Arabidopsis thaliana: one gene and its partner. The protein of the gene in region 2 interacts with the protein of the main gene of each other region in a pairwise test. Each region holds a gene or a part of one and is shown on either strand. Other genes may lie near its edges. The genes, in order: HSBP and AT5G61865.

The links.
Region 1: the proteins of AT5G61865 (region 2) and HSBP interact in a two-hybrid assay, tested with the Arabidopsis thaliana proteins (one large-scale study listed by BioGRID).

Annotation. Positions count from the first base shown.
Region 1 is NC_003075.7:8,982,798-8,993,138, forward strand, and holds HSBP (heat shock factor binding protein), read right to left. Parts: upstream 5,865-10,341; 5' UTR 5,543-5,864; coding exon 5,540-5,542; intron 4,929-5,539; coding exon 4,875-4,928; intron 4,783-4,874; coding exon 4,759-4,782; intron 4,665-4,758; coding exon 4,622-4,664; intron 4,204-4,621; coding exon 4,067-4,203; 3' UTR 3,801-4,066; downstream 1-3,800. Other genes in the region: AT4G15790 (uveal autoantigen with coiled-coil/ankyrin), read left to right, coding at 356-394, 487-693, 818-871, 966-1,037, 1,171-1,272; RALFL33 (ralf-like 33), read left to right, coding at 2,118-2,468; AT4G15810 (P-loop containing nucleoside triphosphate hydrolases superfamily protein), read right to left, coding at 6,365-7,016, 7,281-7,925, 8,012-9,062, 9,196-9,298, 9,377-9,552, 9,665-9,794; AT4G15820 (ABC subfamily C protein), read left to right, coding at 10,173-10,250, 10,337-10,341. UniProt on the Arabidopsis thaliana protein: Negative regulator of the heat shock (HS) response. Affects negatively HSFA1B DNA-binding capacity in vitro. Involved in acquired thermotolerance but not basal thermotolerance. Crucial for seed development, after fertilization and during embryogenesis.
Region 2 is NC_003076.8:24,843,062-24,854,399, forward strand, and holds AT5G61865 (uncharacterized protein), read left to right. Parts: upstream 1-4,248; 5' UTR 4,249-4,333; coding exon 4,334-4,528; intron 4,529-4,754; coding exon 4,755-4,862; intron 4,863-4,937; coding exon 4,938-5,003; intron 5,004-5,669; coding exon 5,670-6,293; intron 6,294-6,384; coding exon 6,385-6,645; 3' UTR 6,646-7,057; downstream 7,058-11,338. Other genes in the region: LFY (floral meristem identity control protein LEAFY (LFY)), read left to right, coding at 1,234-1,690, 2,149-2,555, 3,462-3,872; AT5G61880 (Protein Transporter, Pam16), read left to right, coding at 7,537-7,539, 7,849-7,936, 8,074-8,201, 8,329-8,451; AT5G61890 (Integrase-type DNA-binding superfamily protein), read right to left, coding at 9,578-10,077, 10,437-10,683.

The DNA of each region.
Region 1 (10,341 bases), on a different chromosome or scaffold from region 2:
CGTTCCACGGATTTAACAATTTCAGATTCTGATTACATTGATGTTGAGTTGATTCACATGCAAAGCTTTTTACCTTTGGTGGATCTTGGGCTATCACTGTGTAGTATCTCTTTAGATTTGAAGTCAGATTTGGATCGTGAGCCATTACTGTGTAGTATATCTTTAGTTCTGTGCAATTAACAACAATCTCACATTGGTCTTAAAGCATACTTTTCTTGTTTATATATATATATATAACAGGCTTATGATTTTGGTTTGTACAGCTTAAGAGTTATAATATCTGTTTCCCTGTGGAATTGTTTTTAAGTGGTTAAATTGAAATTGATGTTGATCTTGGTTGTTCTTTCTGCTGCAGAAGAAAGATAATACCAATCCTGTTGATTCGAAGCTCACGGTACGTCGCTGTGTTGTTAGATACTATTAGTGTTTTTAGTCAAATCTTCTGATCAAGCGGTTTTTCTCAAGTCTTGATTTCGTTTTATGTAGGAATTGAATGAATCAAGGGCTGAGTTACTAAACAGGATCCAGAATCTGAAACAGGTTTTAACACTTTCATTCTCATCTCTGACATTGTCATGTTGTTTTAGAACATCTGTTGTCTTTTTAAAACAAACCAATCTTTATATCTTATCGTCGCAGGACTTGCAAAGTTGGAGAGGTAAATTGGACACTCAAGTTAAAGTCTACCGTGAGGTGAGTTCCATATCTAGTCCTCTTTATCCATTTTGTGGTATCAAGCAAGAGAATTGCTGTTTTAGCCGGGATCAGTTTGAACTGTTTTGACATTCGATGTATACTCTTCCTTGGTTTTTTACAGGAGCTCTCTGGGCTAAAGAAGACTCTGAATCTTGAAGTTGAGCAGCTTCGTGAGGTATGTATGTATATTGAGCCAGCAGCCACATGAATATTTAAACGGTTTCTATTCATGATACATGTTTGATTCGTTTTGTCTCCATAAAAACTAGGAATTCAAAGATCTGAAAACTACCTTGAATCAACAGCAAGATGATGTTTCCGCTAGCCTGAAAAGCTTAGGCGTGAGTCTCTCGTGATACACTCTTCTTCCTAAAAGTATTTTCAATATTATAACCCAAAGAAAAGACCGGTTTTTAGACTTGCAGAAACTAATCTATGGTTCTCCTCCACGATTATCTGTTTTGTGCTTTGCAGCTACAAGATTCAAAAGAGCAAATTGATAAGAGAAGTGAGGTGACAGAAGAGAAAGTGGAAGCTCTATCGACTGATGATAATGCCAAAGAAGCAGAACATTAGATAATATGAAATTGTTTGTTCTTATGATATTCTCGCCACTACTGTTACCACTACCTTGAGATTGTACTAGTATGCTTAATATGTAGTTCCGCGGTTTAGTTGATTCTAATGATGCACCATGACACAATGGTTTGCTGCAGATTGATATGTCAACAAGTTGATACAGAACCAACTCGTGTACAGATCTCAAAACCGAGCTTCCTCCTCTGTTCTTGACACCATGATAGAGTGAAATTGTGAAATGAAGCTCCCAAATCAGATATTCAGAAATTTCCATAAACCAATGAACAAACCGGTTTGGTCTAGAATACAAAACCAACCTATTTCGAATAATTCGTTGATCATAATTTGCATTCTCCAAATTCAAAGAACATAGAAGCTTTTAATTTTAATAAATCGATCAATCAATGAACCAACAACCAAGCTTTTTTTATATATATATATATTCATCTTATTTCTTTTCATTCCTTTTTTTTTGGGGGGCAAAATTCTTTTCATTCATTCAAAATTTATCAATTCCACTAATTTCAAATTCGAGCCTTATATAAAATTTCTTTCATTTAGTTGGTAGCATATTCAAGTAAAATGCGTCACATATAATATTGTCATTCATCTCTTATCCTAATTTAATAAAAAATAAAAAGTCAAAAACGAAAATTTAGACTTTAGTGGGAAAAGCGCGTTAAACAACTTTTAGTGTCAAGTGGCATAAATCGTAAATAATATAAATCCTAGTGGCAATTTCAATAACTCATTCTCTTTTAAACCATTTCTTTCTCTTTCTTCAATAAAACTTTTGAAACCTCCAAAAAAAAAAACCTCAGAGAAAGAAGAAGAAAGAAACAATGAGAGGACTCTCCACAAAACCCGTTGCGATAATCATCGCAATTCTCACCGTCCACTTCTTATTCGCCGCCGTAACCTCCCAATCCTCCGGCGATTTCGTACCGATCGAGTCGAAATGCAACGGTACCATCGCCGAGTGCTCCTTATCCACGGCGGAGGAAGAGTTCGAGATGGACTCTGAGATCAACAGGCGTATTTTAGCAACAACGAAGTATATAAGCTACGGTGCGCTGAGGAGAAACACAGTTCCTTGCTCACGACGCGGCGCATCTTACTACAATTGCCGACGTGGAGCTCAGGCTAATCCTTACTCTCGTGGCTGTAGCGCTATTACTCGTTGCAGGCGATAATCTCTTTCTCTATGTACTTTAAAATTTTTACTCTCAAATTCTTTTGTTTTGATTTTTATACAATTTTTCAGATTATTATTTGTTTTGATTGGTGTTTACTATGTTTATACTTTGCATTGCAATATAGTTTCATACAGTCTCAATATAAGTTTGATATATGAACAGAAATATATATAGATGTATTATACATTTCTGATTAATATATCAAATGTTATGTATGGGTGCTTTTTGCATGTGCTGAAGAAAAAACCAGGTGTTCATATTGGAATTTATATGGATATTAAAATTGTAGTTGTTTCATTTTTTTTTGTATGAAGGGAAATATTTGTATGATTGGGGAAGAAATCAAATTTGGTATTTTCCTTATTTTATCGGGTTGAATAATGAGATAGTGTATTAAGAGAAATAGTATTAAATGTGGAGAAGTGGGAAAATAAGAGAAGAGGCAATAATTGGTATTTGGTTGGGGCCAACTAAAGGGGCAGCTTCACATGGCAAATACTTTCGCCAGAAACCACACACACGTGGCGTATTTATTACGTTTTTTTCTTCTTCTTATAATCTTATGTATTCGATTCATTTATTTAAAACTAATACAAATTACATTAAAGTCTATCAGCAATATGTCAAAAGAATCTGAGTCATGGAGCCACTTGGAGGAGAAAAATTGTCAAAACTCAAAAGAGAAGAAAACGTTACACAATGTAAAGATGATGAGAAAAGAAAATAGGGGGAAGACACTAAATTTACTCCCCATAATTAGAGGGAGGCTGATTTGGAGAAAAAATAGTCAAAACAAAATAACAAAGCATTGATATTCGAAGATACACTTTATTTGCTCCTCCGGGGTCCTCAAGGGGCTTTGTCACAGAGAAATAAAAACCAAAGTTTTGGAGAAAAGGGGTTTTGGACCGCAAACTCATACCTCATGACAAGCATAAACCAACTCATCACCAGTTGTTTATTGATTTATTCGATAATGATAGTCTTGTGACTACTTTTCTATCTAGTGTGTTTCTTTGAAACCTTGCAATTTTCAACATTTTAAACAACTTTTGTTTTTAGTTGTAAACGCAGGCTAAACATATCCTCTTTGAAAATATATTCACATTGGGCAAAAATAGACTGTTAAAAAATTTCTACCGACCTTTTTCATGTAAACACAAATGCGAAATAATCAAAGCCTAATACAGCTATGAGATTCGATTTTGATAAATCGATCAGTCTAACTATGGCTCCTATACTTTAACCTTTTCTAAATTCAAAATCTGAAAAAATAAAACCGGAATCAAACCCAAAAATGGAACAATGAACTTGGTTTGTCTATTCCCCCTGATAAGTTGCGTTTAAGTATCGACAGTAATATGAATTATAGGAGCATAAGAAGACTTCTTAGTTCTCTCAAGACCAAAATAGAAATGCAATTCATAGGTGGAGAATAATGTAATGCACCACATCATCAATCTATTTGATGAACTTTAATAAACAACAAACTCGTTTCTTAAAACAGGAATTTTAAAAGTAATACTGCCTGCTCTTAACATATTTCATAGTTTTTCTTTTTCCTTCGGACATGTCAATGAACACCACATTCCTTTTTAAGAGGAACTAGCCGGTGTTTTGGGTTCATCGCCTGATTTGGAGGCTGGAGGAGGAGTGCCTTCTACTCCCATCTCGGCTCTTAGATCATTGATGCTTTGCTCCAGCTCATTGATTCTGCCTCCCATGTCATCAAGTGAACCATCAAATCAAAATCAAAGTCAAGGAGATCAAAACCAATGTCATGAACACAAGATTGCTGATCAAAGAGTTACCACAGATTACAAACTTGTATCAGTTCATGGTGATAAAGTTGCTTTTGTTTAGAATATATAGCGAGCAGAAGAACAAGCATGCATATAATAGCAACTTAACAAGAGAAAATACCATAGAACCATGTGCTACTACCCATAGAATAGACATTTAGACTCTCAAGAAATACTTTAATCAGAAAAATAGACAGATTCTAATGATAATTCTCAATACCTAGTACTAAACTTCTTTCCTTGAAGACACAAATAATCAATCATCATTACTGGTTCTAGGAGGGAAACATTTCATATATTCTACTTCAAGCAACACTCAAGTAAAACCACAGATTGATATAAGGATATTCTTTGTGATGATGGAGTCCGACATTGTCTGGAACCTGGTTTGCTGAAACACACAAATGTGACCAAATTTAATCAAAATCTACCTATTGAAGGTATAATTCCAAGGCCTACGAAGACATAAAAGCTGAAAAACCTACCATCTGCTGGAGAAGATTTTGGACCTGCATATAAAAATTCAAGGATTCAGTGATAAACCAAGTGAAATTGTCTCAAAGTCACAAAAATACCAAACAAAGAGAACGAGAATACTCACAAAAGCAGTCATATCAGCAGTGCTCTGCTTAGTATCCTCAGAATCATGACCATCCTGTCAGCAAAAGAAAAAAAAAACTGTAAGAAGAAACTCAAAGACACAGTAAATATAACAATCATCAGGACAAGAAATTGAAGCTTTATACTAACGAAAAAAAATTGTTACAAGGAAAGAAACAAGCATGAACTATTGCCCATTGAGAATATTTCTATCTGAACTTTCTTAGTACTACTAGCATTACACACAGCAAACTCGATACATGAACATTTCTAAGTAAGAAAAAGGACGAAAAAGTTAACTTATACTGAATCTCCCCATCAGATCCTGGACTTCACGATACTAGAGTTCTTGAAAAGCCGAATTCACAAGTTCAAAATCCACAGATGAAAACAGAAAATCGAGCAAATGCAAAATCTTATTGTAACCCAGCAAAAGATGCTCTAAATCGTCCAGATTTCACTATAAACTCAACATTTCGATAATTGATCTACAATAACAGAACAACCATAAGAATATCATGCGAGATTCCCACTAAACCGTAAAAAAACCTAATCCGAAGATATATCCTTAAATGCAATCGACAAATCCGAATAAACGAGCCTAGGTTTCGTGAACGAAAACGCAAAATCGAAAAAGCGCAATGATATTAGGAGGCGGATATTTACCATTTTTAGGGTTTTCTTGCGAGTGATCGGAAAACTGGAGAAATTTTGATTTCAGCGAAAAGCGATGAGAGACGACGGAGGAGAAGAGTGATGCGATGTTTATAAAACGAGAAGAGAAACGCTGTTACTGTTAACCCCAACCTTATAGGTATACAATGTCCAAAATGCCCCCTCTTTACTTTAGTTTCTATCGTTATGATTCGATTGGGTGGGATCATGTGTGTGTGATTCAAATTTCAAATATTTTTATGTACGTTTGGTATTGAGATCTAGATCTTAGGATGATTCAAATCATTATTGTGGATGTTCAAATCTGCAAACATTTATTTGTAATCATCTTATTTGTAAATTTGGCTTAACTTTTTGTTCCTCTTGATGATTAAAGGCAGACCAATTCGAATTGTGTTGTATAACGACTTATCTCACTAATGGCATAAACCCTGACACATTGATGACTGAAGTATGTAGATTTGGAACAGCCTATTTGTTTCTTACCATCAATAGATATATTAACGAGGTTGTTGAACACTATCATGATTTTACAAGAGAAATGAAACACATGATTTATATAATTATATGATTACAACCAAAAGACATACATAAGCATCTTATCTCCATGTGAGAGATTCTAATCCTCCACAACCCAATAGAGGAAGAAGTAACAAACCTGACCACAAGACAATCAGGAGACAAGTGAAATGTTGCTTATCCTCACACCATTGGTATTTGATATAGTTAATTTTCGTGTATTATCAATGGAATACAAAAGACACGACGATCACATCTGATATGTTACAACTTCTACAACAAGAGCAAATTCCAATTTTAAATATCTTTTCCAGAAGTGAATACGGATATCAACATAGGAACCAAACCTAAAACAGACATGGAGCCTCTCATCCTCACCAAGATCTTCCCTTCTTCTTGTACATTTCTTCTACAGTCTCGGCTTCCAATGGAAAACCCTGCGTGCACATCAGATGTATCTAGATAGATACCGAACCTTTTTGTTGCTTGGAATCCAAGTCTTCCTCTTCTGGTTCTTACACGACCAAGTACAGTTCCTTTTTCATGTTGTCTCTCCACGTCTTCTGATTCTTGATTCTCCACGAGAAGTGTTTCTTGCTCGAGACATTCTTGACTCTGTTCGTCCCATATAATTTCAGGGTAAGAATCCAGTAATTTCCTTTTCTTCTCCTCCAAATCATCATGTGAATGAGAAGTGTGCCCTGAGTTAAGTAACACATTCCACAAGGAACAGAATAGAGTGAAAGAGCTAAGCTGGGAGCCAAAGACACCGGCCTTTTCTACATCGGTATTCTGCTTTTGCAAAGAACCGGCTTTAGACCGGATCTTAACTGAGCAACATAAGATCAGCAAGTTCAATCTCCAATCCGAACATGTAGATTCGCTGCTTTTGTTTGCGGAGAAGAAGCTCATGTTGTTCTCTGCCAGAACAATTCCTAGGCATCTTGCTCTGGTCTATACAGCTTAACTCTGGAACTGCTTGTCTGATTGATTGATGCATAAGAGAAGATCTCTGAGAAATAAACTCCTTGTAGCTTAAAGAATCTACAACATCGGAAGCTGCATGAGTTAGAACCACGATAGCATTTTTCCATATTGACGAGCCCAGGGAACTGGTGATGATTTTAAGTAAACGGATGTCTGGAGTGTCATCTAGACGGTCAATATAGAGGTGATATCAACTGGGAACTTTCTCATGCTTTTCTTTATTGACATAAGGACTTCCTGATTAAACTGTTCCTCAGTTGCAGAGGACAAGAGTCCTGGCGTATCAAGTATACTTATCTGGATTCCTCCTACATTCCCAACAACATAATTTGCAGAGTTAGTGGTAACTCCAAATGCACCAACAGCAGATTTAGTCTCCCCAAAAATAGAATTAACCGTTGCACTTTTTCCCACCCCAGTTTTCCCGATAACAAGGACGTTAATGGAGAAGTCTAGATCAGCTGGAAACTCTTGTTCAGGCAGCACTATCTTTGTTCCGTCAAACATGTGATCAAGCCCTAAGGACGTTGGATGTTCTCCACCAGCTAGGCTCATCTTAGACGCAACTTTAGTAACAGTTGAATTTTCACGGCTAAGACATGTTCTTCTTATAATCCTCTGGAGCTTTTCCTTCAAGAGCTGAGTCTTCTCAACTCTTTCCTTCACTCTCTCACTTATCAGCTCCACAGAATGATTAGAGGATAATAGTTCTGAAGAATTCTGGAAACTGGATCCAGTGAGTTTCTCACTTGTATCACCTGTTCCTTCGTACTCGTCAAGCTCCATAAAAGTGTGATTATGAATCAGCCGTGCCATCGTCTCATTTTCCATTATATCATAAGCAATTACGGAAGAGTTTTCAGGCATGGTCCTCTCAATGTCTTTAACCGAAAGCAAACTGGTTTCTTCTATGCCCACTGAGATTTGGTTTGCTTCGCTATCAGACTGAAAATTGACCTGCTTATTAATTGATTCCCATCTTCCACAGTCTCATTGGCTGTTTCAAAGGAACTTATTAAACTTGATGCTCTATCTTCATCAGGAAGTGACAACTTCCTATCAGTATCGTCTGATTCTTGATTTCCTTCATTTTCAGATTCTTCTTCAGCTTTTTGATCGGAAGAACCACAACCAATTACAACGACATCTATTCCTCCAGCGACCTCAAGGTTCATTATCATTTCAGAATCTGAAGTTGGAGTTAACTGAAAACTTTCAGAACTCATACCAATTTCAGGTTCATCCGCGCACTCAAGTTTTTCTAATTCGCTAACAGCACCACGATCATTTTCACAGTGTTCTTCTGCCTTGCCTATCATATTTCCAGCGTCTTTATCCCCTGAGTCTCTGCTTTCTGATCCAATAGACTCGTCACGTGGAATTATCAATTCATCTGCATCACAGACACTACCAACATCAGTTCTGTTATTGCTCTCCTTGCTGGTACTAGCTTGACCCACCCCTTGTTCGACAAGGCTGCTTACAGTTTCATCTAATCCTTTATCCTCATCAACAGCGTTTCCTTCACTTTCCACCAGAAACTCCTTGCATTCACCTGTCATAACACCAAGACTACTCTCAAAAGACACTAACACATTGTCAGAAGATTTCTCTTGTACCATAACTTCCTCTATGGATACAAGTTCACCTATATTAGAACCTGCGTATTCTGGTTTATCATTCATTCCCATTTTTGCTAATTCAACTGCACTATCTTCTACTCTTTCTACATCACTTGGCTTCATCAATGCGTCAAATTCATGAATGCTACCACCACTATCCTCCTTGTTGATGGTACTTTTACTATCCCCTTTCTCGATGAGTTGCTTGAAATTTTGACCCAATTCTATACTCGCCTCACTAGAGTTCCCTTCATTTTCTGCCATAAAATCACTAGAACCTTCTGGTGGAACACCGAGACTTGATTCTTCAATATTCCCAAAGGACATCAAACCATCATCTAATTTATCTGAATAGTTCATTCTCACCTCTTCAGAATCAACATCACCTATAAAAGAATCCGAACACTCTGGTTCATAACCACTCCCTTATCTCCAAACTGCGACCCTCTATCTTCAACTTCAGCTTCTTCATCACCTGGAGCCTTAGTTACACCCAACAGCACAGCCTCTTCATCATACTACCCAAAATTTCATCAAACTCATCATCATCCAAAGACAAAACAGCCCGAGGAATGACTACTTTTGCTTTCATACTACCTCTTTCATCTCCACTAACTTCACTCTCGCAAACCTCATCACTGTTCTCACCATCTTCCTCCCAAAGACGAGTAATTCACCGACGTTTCCTCGTCAACATCACCTGCAAATGGTCTATAAATCCCACTCCCACCTGAAATTCACTTCCATCTCCACCTAACTCTTCCCCTAGTAGCCTATCTACCCTAACCCCATCCAAAACCACATCCTCTAACACAGTCTCATCTTCATCAGTCTCAAAATCAAGTCCATTACTATAACTACTAGCTTCACTACTTGCTGAGTTATGTTCATCAGTTACAGTACCAGTATCATCATCATCCTCATCAATTGTAACAGGTGCACGAATTGGAACAGAACCAGCAGATGAAAACGAACCCAGAGAGAGTACGCGTGAGAAGAAACGAATCAGCTCTTGCCGCCGCAATCGCTCTCACCGCAGAAATTGAAACGCGAGGTTTCTCCGAATCGACCGTTGCTGCAGCGAGAATTGAAACAATCCCAGGCTTCTCCGATTCCATAAAACCAAAAGCTTCCAAATATACAAAAGATGTATTTTGTAGTTTTCTGTTTGTCTTTAACAGTATTTTTAGGGTTTAATTAGGATTTATGTGAAGCTTTTGTGGCTATGGAAGTGATAGTGTGGAAGACGAAACAACCACAGAGAAGAGTGAGAGCGATGATGCTACATAACAGGCGGCTCAAGACAAAATTAAAGATTTTGCATAATCATTCACTTTTGGGGTCAATATTGAAACTTTCAAATTTGAAAGAGGAATATACGAATATTTTAAAATGTTTGGGGCTTATTTGTTATTACTATTTTTTTTTTTTTTTTTTTTTCAATGTGGCTAATAAGAAACTCTCAGTCTCAGTGGCTGACCATCCCCGCCGTAGCCATGGCAGTTTTCCGATGCGCCGTCTTTTTATCTCCTTCGAGTTTCCTTCCGTCGTACTCCACCGGAAGGAGAGTTTCTGTAAAAGTTATCCGGTGTTCTTCGGCTTCGATTCCGTTCTGTCGAAGTCATCAAAAGGAAAATTACCTGCGACCCAAAATCCTTAGAACCC
Region 2 (11,338 bases):
CACCTGACCTCCTCTCCTTCTGGAGTTTTCACACTGCATTTATCAATTAATGTTTCCTAAAACGCAGATAGATAAAGGTTTCATTTATTAGCTTATGTTTATTTAAAGCAAAAGAACAACTTGTGGCTATATATAGTAGATTAACAATCTCAGACTCAGAGTGCTGATATTTCTTATCATACAAAATTTATCTTCCCCTAACAATACTTCCAAAGCTTATTTAGATAGACATATATGGAATTATGGATAATGGATTCCCTTAAGTTATATGAATCATAGGGGAATATAATTTTAGTAACTTATCGGGCTTCTGCAAAGATTGTGCATGGTACCATGCGTCCATGCCAATACAGTTAAAGTTTACATAATACAAATTTTTACGTATTTCTATATATCATATATGACTTACAGATTATCATAGCTTAATATAGCCAGTATTGCCAACTTTCCATTCGTACCTAGAACTTATAAGAAGATTGGAAAGGATATTAAAATTGAAAAAGACGTAGGTTGGCCATGTATCTTAAGATAGTTAAACGATATCAGCAATCTATCAATAATCAATCTATCGTAACAAATATTTTTGTCATAAATGTATTTGTAGATTTTTTTTTTTATACTTTTAGATGGTTAAATGTTCAAGAAATCTAACCAAATGGTGGAATGGTTCCGTTTGATCGTGCTCTCATGGTACAAACAATGAGACCCCCCAAAAAAAAAAAACCCCCGAGGATGAAATTAAAACAAATAACACAGCTTGAACAAAACATCAAAAACAGAGGATCATCACAGTAAATATTAATACTTGAACAAAACATCAAAAAGATAGGATCATCACAGTAAATATTAATATGCATAAAGAAGAGAATCACCACAGTGAAAACCCTAATCATTTTATATTCCTACGTGTCAAATTATGAATGGTCATAATCAGAGTAGAGAAAAAGAATGTCGATGAAAGAAAAAGTTTGACTTGTTAAGTCCCAACTGTCAATTTCCCAGCAAGACACATATCTTCTTTTACATCACATTACATCTACACATAAATGCTTTATTGCAAAAATAGCGATATAAAAAAAGAATATACAAAAACCTAGTATTTATTTTCTAGATTCTTTACTGTTGTATATATAGAAGTTGCTCGAGTGGTCATTTTTACAATAAAGCAATCTGCTCAAAAGAGTAAAGAAAGAGAGAAAAAGAGAGTGATAGAGAGAGAGAGAAAAATAGATTATGGATCCTGAAGGTTTCACGAGTGGCTTATTCCGGTGGAACCCAACGAGAGCATTGGTTCAAGCACCACCTCCGGTTCCACCTCCGCTGCAGCAACAGCCGGTGACACCGCAGACGGCTGCTTTTGGGATGCGACTTGGTGGTTTAGAGGGACTATTCGGTCCGTACGGTATACGTTTCTACACGGCGGCGAAGATAGCGGAGTTAGGTTTTACGGCGAGCACGCTTGTGGGTATGAAGGACGAGGAGCTTGAAGAGATGATGAATAGTCTCTCTCATATCTTTCGTTGGGAGCTTCTTGTTGGTGAACGGTACGGTATCAAAGCTGCCGTTAGAGCTGAACGGAGACGATTGCAAGAAGAGGAGGAAGAGGAATCTTCTAGACGCCGTCATTTGCTACTCTCCGCCGCTGGTGATTCCGGTACTCATCACGCTCTTGATGCTCTCTCCCAAGAAGGTACAATAATTATGAATACATATAGAAATATCAAATATCGCACGTTTTATAAATATGTGTATATATTGTTCTCAACATTTCTATGCCCGACTTTCAAGAAAAAGTATGTATATGTTCACGTGACTAATATAGATAACTAATTTATGAATCTTACCATATGTATAGTAGTTGCTACATAATTTTATGTTTAAGCTTTTTTTTTGGTTAAATATATTGGTTAAGCTTTTGTTACATAATACAAGATAATATATGTCATATTTAATTTATATGTTGGATATATTTACTTGTATGATATTGATTTAGAGCTACTGTGTGTATAGAGTATGCAGTCATAGTCTGATATTTATTAAATAGACCTAGTGCAAGAAGTACGAGGATTAATGTCATGTACAGGAATTCAAAGAGTATATACGCCTAAACTTGAATAATTTTTTGTGATTGTGACAATTTATATGTAGATGATTGGACAGGGTTATCTGAGGAACCGGTGCAGCAACAAGACCAGACTGATGCGGCGGGGAATAACGGCGGAGGAGGAAGTGGTTACTGGGACGCAGGTCAAGGAAAGATGAAGAAGCAACAGCAGCAGAGACGGAGAAAGAAACCAATGCTGACGTCAGTGGAAACCGACGAAGACGTCAACGAAGGTGAGGATGACGACGGGATGGATAACGGCAACGGAGGTAGTGGTTTGGGGACAGAGAGACAGAGGGAGCATCCGTTTATCGTAACGGAGCCTGGGGAAGTGGCACGTGGCAAAAAGAACGGCTTAGATTATCTGTTCCACTTGTACGAACAATGCCGTGAGTTCCTTCTTCAGGTCCAGACAATTGCTAAAGACCGTGGCGAAAAATGCCCCACCAAGGTATCTTTTGATTTATCTTCTAAGAACTAATCCTGACCGTTCATTATCTTGAAATTTATGTTTCAAACAAAAGTTTAAAAAATGGTGTCGGAAGTTATGGGGTATGGTAGGGGAACTATAGCTATAATCATGGACAGCTGTTCTAAAAGCAAGTTTGACAAATCACGATTTCTCAGGGTTTTCAATTTTTTATTTTTTTTTGCTATGTCTCGCAACAAAATTTAGGTTCTAATTTATTAAATTTTTCATTTTGTTTTCATACTGTCTTCAGCATAAATATAGTTAGATTTCAATTTCAATTTTGACAGTAAACGTACGACAACGTGTCGAGTTAGGGAAAGGACATAGTTGTTTCTTTGTTTTTGGCTATAACGACATGAGATAGTTAGATACGATATACAAATTTTTGCATGCATTCACACATAGTACACATAGATATTATTAGACTTTTTGACAATTAATAGGGATATTTGTTGTATGTATATATTATTATATCTAGTTACAGTCTATTGCTCGGCGGATAATAGAGGGTCCTCTTTCCTCTAGTGATGATAGTACAGAATCCATGAGCTCTGTGCCATTGCTTGTACAGACGCACGTTACTAAGAAAATCTAATTTATTTGTTTTCTTTCTAAATTTGTTATTGGTTCCAATATTTTGATTATTGTGTTGTTTTTATCAAAAACCTTTTTGTTATCTAATTTTTTGGGTTTAGTTAAGTGTCAAGTCTAACAAGGGTTATAAAAAATATCTAACAACTACGGTTATAATTTTGGTAGGCATTTTTTTTTAATCATTGTTTACCGAATTAAAACCAAACTTATTAGGTTTCATTTTTCCTACTATATATCTCATGATAAATGATTTGTTTGATTATATTGATGTTGGGGAAAATGTGTAAATAGGTGACGAACCAAGTATTCAGGTACGCGAAGAAATCAGGAGCGAGTTACATAAACAAGCCTAAAATGCGACACTACGTTCACTGTTACGCTCTCCACTGCCTAGACGAAGAAGCTTCAAATGCTCTCAGAAGAGCGTTTAAAGAACGCGGTGAGAACGTTGGCTCATGGCGTCAGGCTTGTTACAAGCCACTTGTGAACATCGCTTGTCGTCATGGCTGGGATATAGACGCCGTCTTTAACGCTCATCCTCGTCTCTCTATTTGGTATGTTCCAACAAAGCTGCGTCAGCTTTGCCATTTGGAGCGGAACAATGCGGTTGCTGCGGCTGCGGCTTTAGTTGGCGGTATTAGCTGTACCGGATCGTCGACGTCTGGACGTGGTGGATGCGGCGGCGACGACTTGCGTTTCTAGTTTGGTTTGGGTAGTTGTGGTTTGTTTAGTCGTTATCCTAATTAACTATTAGTCTTTAATTTAGTCTTCTTGGCTAATTTATTTTTCTTTTTTTGTCAAAACCTTTAATTTGTTATGGCTAATTTGTTATACACGCAGTTTTCTTAATGCGTTAACGGATTTTAAAACCAATTTGGTCAAACTCAAAAGTACTAAGATACATTTGAGTTAAGAGCACTGAAAATAACCATTCATACATCGAGAAAGAACTGTGAAGGTGTCATCAGTATAATTAATCAATAATGGGCCAGTTTGAGACAAATATATGGGCCTGGTTTGAGACAAATAGATGGGCCGTGGATATATAAACTTGTGTGTCAGAAATTGCAAACGAAGAAAACAAAAGAGAATTTGAGAAACGACTGTTTGAAATTCGAATCCATTTCTCTTCGGACTTGTGTGATAACTGATTTCCTCCTACAATGGAGTTCCCGCCAAGAGCGTTTTATCCACGGAGATTCCAGGCCTCTCCGGCGCAATACACGGCGGAGGAAAGTGCTGCAGCAGTATCGGCGCCAGATCTCCGAGATAAGCTCGCGACACTGGTCGATCGCACCAAGAAAGTGAAAATGGCGTACCATCAACTCCAATCGCAGATCGCGTTCGGCCTTGTCGAAGTAAAGATAAATGCTCTTCTCTAGTTTGTTAGATTCGATTTCTAAGTAGATCTAAGCTTGATTCAAACGAATTTGAGAGAGGTAATCCTATTATCTGGTTTGGTAGATTCGAGCTTGATTTGAACGATTCCGAGTGTTGCGTACTCTTTAAATTGGTAGTTTCAAGCTTAATTTGAACAATTGTGGGTGTTGCAACGAATTTGATAGAGAATTTGATAATTTAAAGGCAGGTGAAGTTTTCGATTCTCTGGCGATCCCTTTGATGAAGTTGGTTGGGCTGAAAACGTCGGAGATGGAGAGTGAAGGGAGACACTCCGCCTTTATTTTCAATACTGTGAGTGATATCAATCATCTTCTTGTAGAATCATGAAATTGCAAATTTTCAGATCATTACTCTAATTTTCATCAGGAAAGGTATCATCATATGGATACTGCACGGTCTGGTGATCTGAACATTCAAATTCGCAGTTCAAAGGTAGTATAGTAGTATACATCATGATTCTTATAACATATGTATGCCTAGTTATAATGAAGACTGAACGTGAACCAATTGATATGATTCTGAAACTGTTATGTGTCTAGGCAAGTGTCATTCTGATGATTCTGTATATGTGTATCCCTTGTTCTACTATAGATGTGATGCGAAAAAAGCAATATGATTCTGAAATTGTAACGGGTCTTGTCAAGCTTCACTTTGGTGATTGCCTATTTAGTATGACTAATTTTACTAGATATTGAATGTGAAACCAAACAATGTGATCCTGAAACTGTAAAGCGTCTAGTCAAGTTTTAGTTTGGTGATTCCTTATACATGTATACCTAATTCTGGTATAGAGTGAATGCAGACTAATAAATATGATCATGAAACTGTGATGTGCCTAGTCAAGTTTCATTCTGGTGATTCGTTATTAATGTTTGGCTAGTTCTGCTATAGATTAATGAGAACCAATAGGGAATATAGTTTAGATGCTGTCTTCTCTACACTTTCTGTTTCAAATTTTAATCAATTGCATCACAAAGCTGTTTGGAAAACCATTTGTACCTTCATGTGGGTTTGGAGCTTGCAGTTAAATATATAATTCTGCCTACTTTGAGTGGATTTCTTCCTCAGAAGTTCATTTGAAGTATCATGATTTTGTAGGAAGAAAACTATGCTGCTAAAGCCGAAACAGCGGGGAAAGAGATCTTGCACAAGCATAAGGGGCAGCTGAGACAGTTAGTTCATATGCTTAAGCACATTGAAACACAGGTGAATTCACATCGGGAAGATATTCTGCAGATGGTTGACGATCGTAGAACCTTCTTCCAAGAATTCATCCAGAAGTCTCTTTATTACCTAAGCTCGGTTCACAGCCAAAACCATGACACTTTCCCTGTCACAGTGAAGCTCCTTCGCGTACTATTTAATAACATCAACGAGGTGCTTGGTTCAGTAGATACTGGAGTCAATGATTTTATGCAGGCTTTAGCAAAGAATATGTGTCACCCGATGACCAAGTACGTAGGCAACTTGGCTGCTGAAATAAAGCATGGCCCTTGTGTGCAACTGATGAATGTAGTGAATGAGATGGAGAGATCAAACTCAGATACAAGGAGAGAGCTACAAGATGCTAGAGAAAGGATTAGACTTGCAGAAGAGACAAAGATCAACGCTTTATCAAAGCTGAAAAAAGCTGAAGATCAAGTTCAGAGGATGACAACATCTGCCAAATTTCTTCTACCCGCGAGTCAGAAGAAACAAGCTGAACATTCTATTACCGGCAAGGTAAAATTTCGATAATGAGTTTTGTTTGTGAAAGCTCAAATGATTAAGTAAGCGCTAAAAGGGTTTTTGTTTCATCCTTTTGTCCATGTAGCGTATAGGCACAGAGGGAAGCCGAGAACACGAAGAGAAACTACTTTGGGAACTACTGAGCAAAAGGAGAAAGCAACAAGAGCCAGAGAGTCCAATGGGACCTAAAGAACTCATCAGACAATCAGACACAAAGCAGAAGACATTGGTGTACAATCGCCGAAGGACTAGGAGCCAAGCACTGTTAAGTTCTCAAACCGCACGCCCTGATGCTTTGATCCCACTTGGTTTGTCACCGTCTGCTAGAACAGTAACCTGGAGGTAAGTAAACTAAAGCACACGTCTCACTCATTGCATCAGAATCTATCTTCACTACGCTTTGAAAAACAATGAGATCCAGTAGCTTCTTTAACACTTAAGCACCTTAAATAAAATACTCGTTTATCTTGTCATTAGTTACACTTTAATAAGTCTTGGTAATTTCTTGAGATGGTGTTTCAACAGTCAGAAACAAAACGTCTTTGTTAGAGTTGCACCGAAACCTTTGTTTTGTATAACTATGGACCCTAGCTAATCCTGGTGACTATAATGATTAACCAACTTAACTTCTAATAAACACAATGATACATACAAACATTATATTTCTAACTACATTGCATAAATCGAACCATCTAATCTGTTATGTTACTGGATACATTGTATCAACCTATGCAAGAGTTTTCGAATGAAAAGTTGGGATGATCAAAGTTTAATTAATCTTCAAAAAATAAATAGTGGGGCCAAAATAGAATTTCTTGAAAAACTTGGGGGTTGTACTTCAATACCCACGTTTTATAAATAGTGGGCTTAACTTTTTACATGTAGGCCCAAATCATCTTCCGACGTCGGTTAGGGTTCTTGTTGATGATATCACCTGAAACTCTGAGTTTCTCTCTCCGCCTCCGTCATAGAACGCAGAACTGGGTGGATCACCGTGGTCGTCAAATTCCTAGCTCCTCGACTCCAAAAAAAAATCATAAACGTATTACCGTCTCTTGTTTTCCTCGTAAGGTTCTCAAAATCGATTATCTTCATTACACTCGACTTGTCTCTGTTTCGAATCCTACGTCGTGTTTTTCTTTTCAGTATTCGGTTACGAGAAATCTTAAACCGTACTTACATTTCAGGTATTATATCGGTCGAAGTCTCCAATCATCGGTCTGAGTAATCTCTGACAATGGTATGTGTAATTTCCCGACCGATTGTTTCTCTAGTTTCAAAGTCCACACTTTTTTTCTGATTAGAGCCAATTTTATTGAAATTTCTTAGAAGCTCATAAAAATTTACAAGTGAAATCATCACTAAAATATTGAGAACTGTTGCTTCTCCATGACCTTGGTTATTTGTAGAGATCCTTAAGTTGAGCTGGTTTTTGATTGAATATTGTTGCATAGGAAATTTTCTTTTTTATTAGTGTATCTTTCAACAAGAAATTGTTCTCAGTGATTGATTAACGTGTATTGAAATTTCTTGAGCATTTGTGTGCAAGGCTGCAAGAGTTTTGGCAAGTGTGATTGTGATGGGCTCTGGAATCATAGCCAGGGCTTGTACTCAGGCATATCGTCAGGCGCTTGCAAGTATGTCTTTTAATTACAATGTTCTTGTTTTCTTTCTGGGCAAGAATGAATTTATCAAAGATTCGTTGTATTGTGTGTGTGTAAGTGTAAGTTACTTTGCGAAATTGTTGATAAACATTGTTTGGAATGGTTTACAGATGCATCAAAAACCGGGGTTGCGCATGAAGCGACACAGACTATTAAGAGAGGGTTGACTATAGGTGAAGCAGAAGCTAGACAGATTCTTGGTGTAACTGAGAAATCATCTTGGGACGAGATTCTTAAGGTTTGTCTTCACACTTCACCCCGGGCTGGCTGTGCAAACGCGAATAGCGGTTTATAGTTTCTAGTTTCTACTGCTGATTGAAAAAAGAGACCCTTATTCTCATTGAGATTATATGTTATGTTTGTAGAAATACGACACGTTGTTCGAACGCAATGCGCAGAATGGAAGCTTCTATCTCCAATCTAAGGTCCATAGAGCTAAGGAATGCTTAGAGACTGCATACCAGAAGAGTACAACAACAAGCGCATGAACAAGCAATAAAACAATAGGAGCAAATCAGGAACATATCTTTTGATACAAGTTATAGTTTTAGGACAGAAGTTTGAAATTGAGTGGAGATAGCCGCAAAAGTTGAAATTGAGACAAGGTCGGTGATGGCCGGAATGCTGCCAGTAACCGACTCACCGGCGTTGTTAAAAGTCTTGTTATTTTGTTTAATAATATTGACTTTTCTAGTTCTTAGGTAAACTAGTTGAATTCTAGCATGTCTATTGAATTATCTGAGTTTGAAAAATCCGTCTACTTCATTTTAATTACCAAATATATTGATCACCAACAAAATCGTAGATAAAACGAACACGTTCCTATTAGTCTACGAAAAAATAGGACTTGCAATTTTTTTTTTTTTTTTTTTTTTTTCATAATTATACATCTTTAGTTATACTTTTTACGATTTTAGTCATGTAGATTCAAATACACTTTGGATTTAGTGGAATACTTCTGTATTTTATTTGATAGTCAACTAAATTGATAGAGTTGCACTAGCTAGTAGCTACTAAACCAAGTGGTGTCTGACTTTGAAGTCCAAGTCCAAGACTTCAAGTGGGTTTAAGAGCGTTTAGCAAAGTTGAATCGATGTCTATTACACGTCTAAGCCGATCCAAACGAGAATGAAGCTTTTTATATATTTTATGTCGAATTGTCGACCGCCGAATTTCGTGATCCACACACTACAATTAATGCTGATTTAGAAAGACTTTTAAAGTCAACTAAATATTACACTATCGATGGTATGAAAGTAGACTACATTAGTATTGCGTTAAAGACTGGTCAAACATCAACGGAACGTAGTTTTCTTTATGGTATTTAATTGCACCATAATCGATACTCTATATTTGCAATCTGTATAATGTATATCAACTATCTAATGCATTTTATCGTGCGTTGAAGTTCGAATCGGTGATGTTATGTTGTCATGTATGTAGGAGCCAAAAACCTCCAAGATATTAACCAAAAAAACAAGAAAACACGTTCAATAAATCTTAACGCGGAAGACAAAAATGACACTCAAAAACATTCAGGAAGCATATGATCATCTCAATTTTGACGGGAAATGTATCATTACTTCATCACAAGTAACTGATCAAATCTCCTAATTAATATCCCGAATGAGGAGAGGAAGAAGAATCCCCAAAGCGCCAGAATCTGGCATAATCTTGCTCTTCTTGTTGCCTAGAAGAGCCACCAGAAGACGAAGAAGTTGTAGCAGCAGTCGTAGTACTATTATCATGAGACATTGAATATCCGGTACCACTCCCATACCCACCGCCCAAATTAAAACTTAGCATATCACCACTACTCGCATCATGATAGTATTGATTATAGTTCGGTATACTTTGTGGTTCCATTTGTGGAATTTGGTTGGAGGAGTAATATGTAGAGTTACTTCCAAGCTGAACCCTCTCCGGGAAATTGAGTTTTGCTTTGCTTCCTTTGAACTTTAGGGCTGCTTCATCATAAGCTAAGGCCGCAGATTCAGCGGTTTCAAATGTCCCGAGCCACACACGTGCCGCCTTTTTTGGGTCTCGGATTTCAGCTGCCCACTTTCCCCATGGCCTTTGCCTTACACCTCTATAATGTCTCCTCCTCAAGTCCCCTTTATTGAAATCACAAAAGTTGAAATCAGAAAATCTTTGGTATGGTCTACTCATACATGTGCATAGTATGTAAACTTTGTATATGCTCATAGTTTATGTGTATAAATATATATCGTCACCTAATATTGGTGCTGAAACCATATACTACCAACAAAATCTCCATGTTAAAAATTACATTTTGGTAATAGCCTAATCGTTTTTTCTTTTGGTAAATGAGTATTGAAATAAACAGTATAATAATAACCTTTTAAGTTTGAGATTTACTTCTGATATGAAATTTGCACATAATTTCAATATATCCTAACATTGTTTCAACCAAAAAAGATTCAAAGATCGATATGAGCATGTATATATATACCTTGGTCTTGATGAGTAGGCGCAACTTGTTGATTAGGGTCTTGTGGATTATACACAGAAGGATAGTTATCATCAATAGAGCTGATGTTATCATGAGATTTGCTTTGTTGGTTTCCGATTACTTGAGTCAAGGCCGAGACCATAACACGCATGTCGTGTTGAGATCGGGCCGAGAAGACCGGGAACAAGTTCTCATCTTCTTCCCTTTCTTCAGATTCATCACCTCCAAAAGGCCTCTTCCCATACATCCGAGGATCTACTTTTGCTTGATTTTCTTTTAAATATAGCCTTTTCTTCCAAAAAAAAAATTTGATATAGGATTTATACAGTACTTTAGGGTTGTTCAGTTTTTCTTTATGGCATCGTTGAACATCAAGAACAAGAGGATGATAAGGAGAAGAAATTAGATTGAAGTAAATGAAGAAAGAGAGAGTAAAGTATTTTTTTGGGGGGGTTTAGCAATTTTCTGAGGCTTTTATAGAGGAATTCGTTCTACGTGTGAACATATGACCTAAAACAAATATGTTTTAAGTTTGATTTTTTTTTTTTTTTTCACATTCTTTCGTATTTAATAATTTCTTATATGTGTTTGTTTCTGTTATCGTATTTAAAAAATATGCTTGTACGACCAGTACGGATCAATGTTTTGTAATGAAGGCATGTATAATGAGAATGTTTGTTAAACTTTTCTTATTGAGGAAAGTGCATGTGTATTTAAATATCAAAAGAGAGGATATTTTATAAAGATTACTATAAAATACTACACGAGATGGGAAAACTAAACATGCAAAAGTGAAAAGAATAAAATAAAGAAGAGAGGAAAATTGCGCATGCATGTTCATGTTTTGTTTAATCATTTATTTTGTGTGAAAAGGGTTTAACACATTCATGGAATTGAGGGAA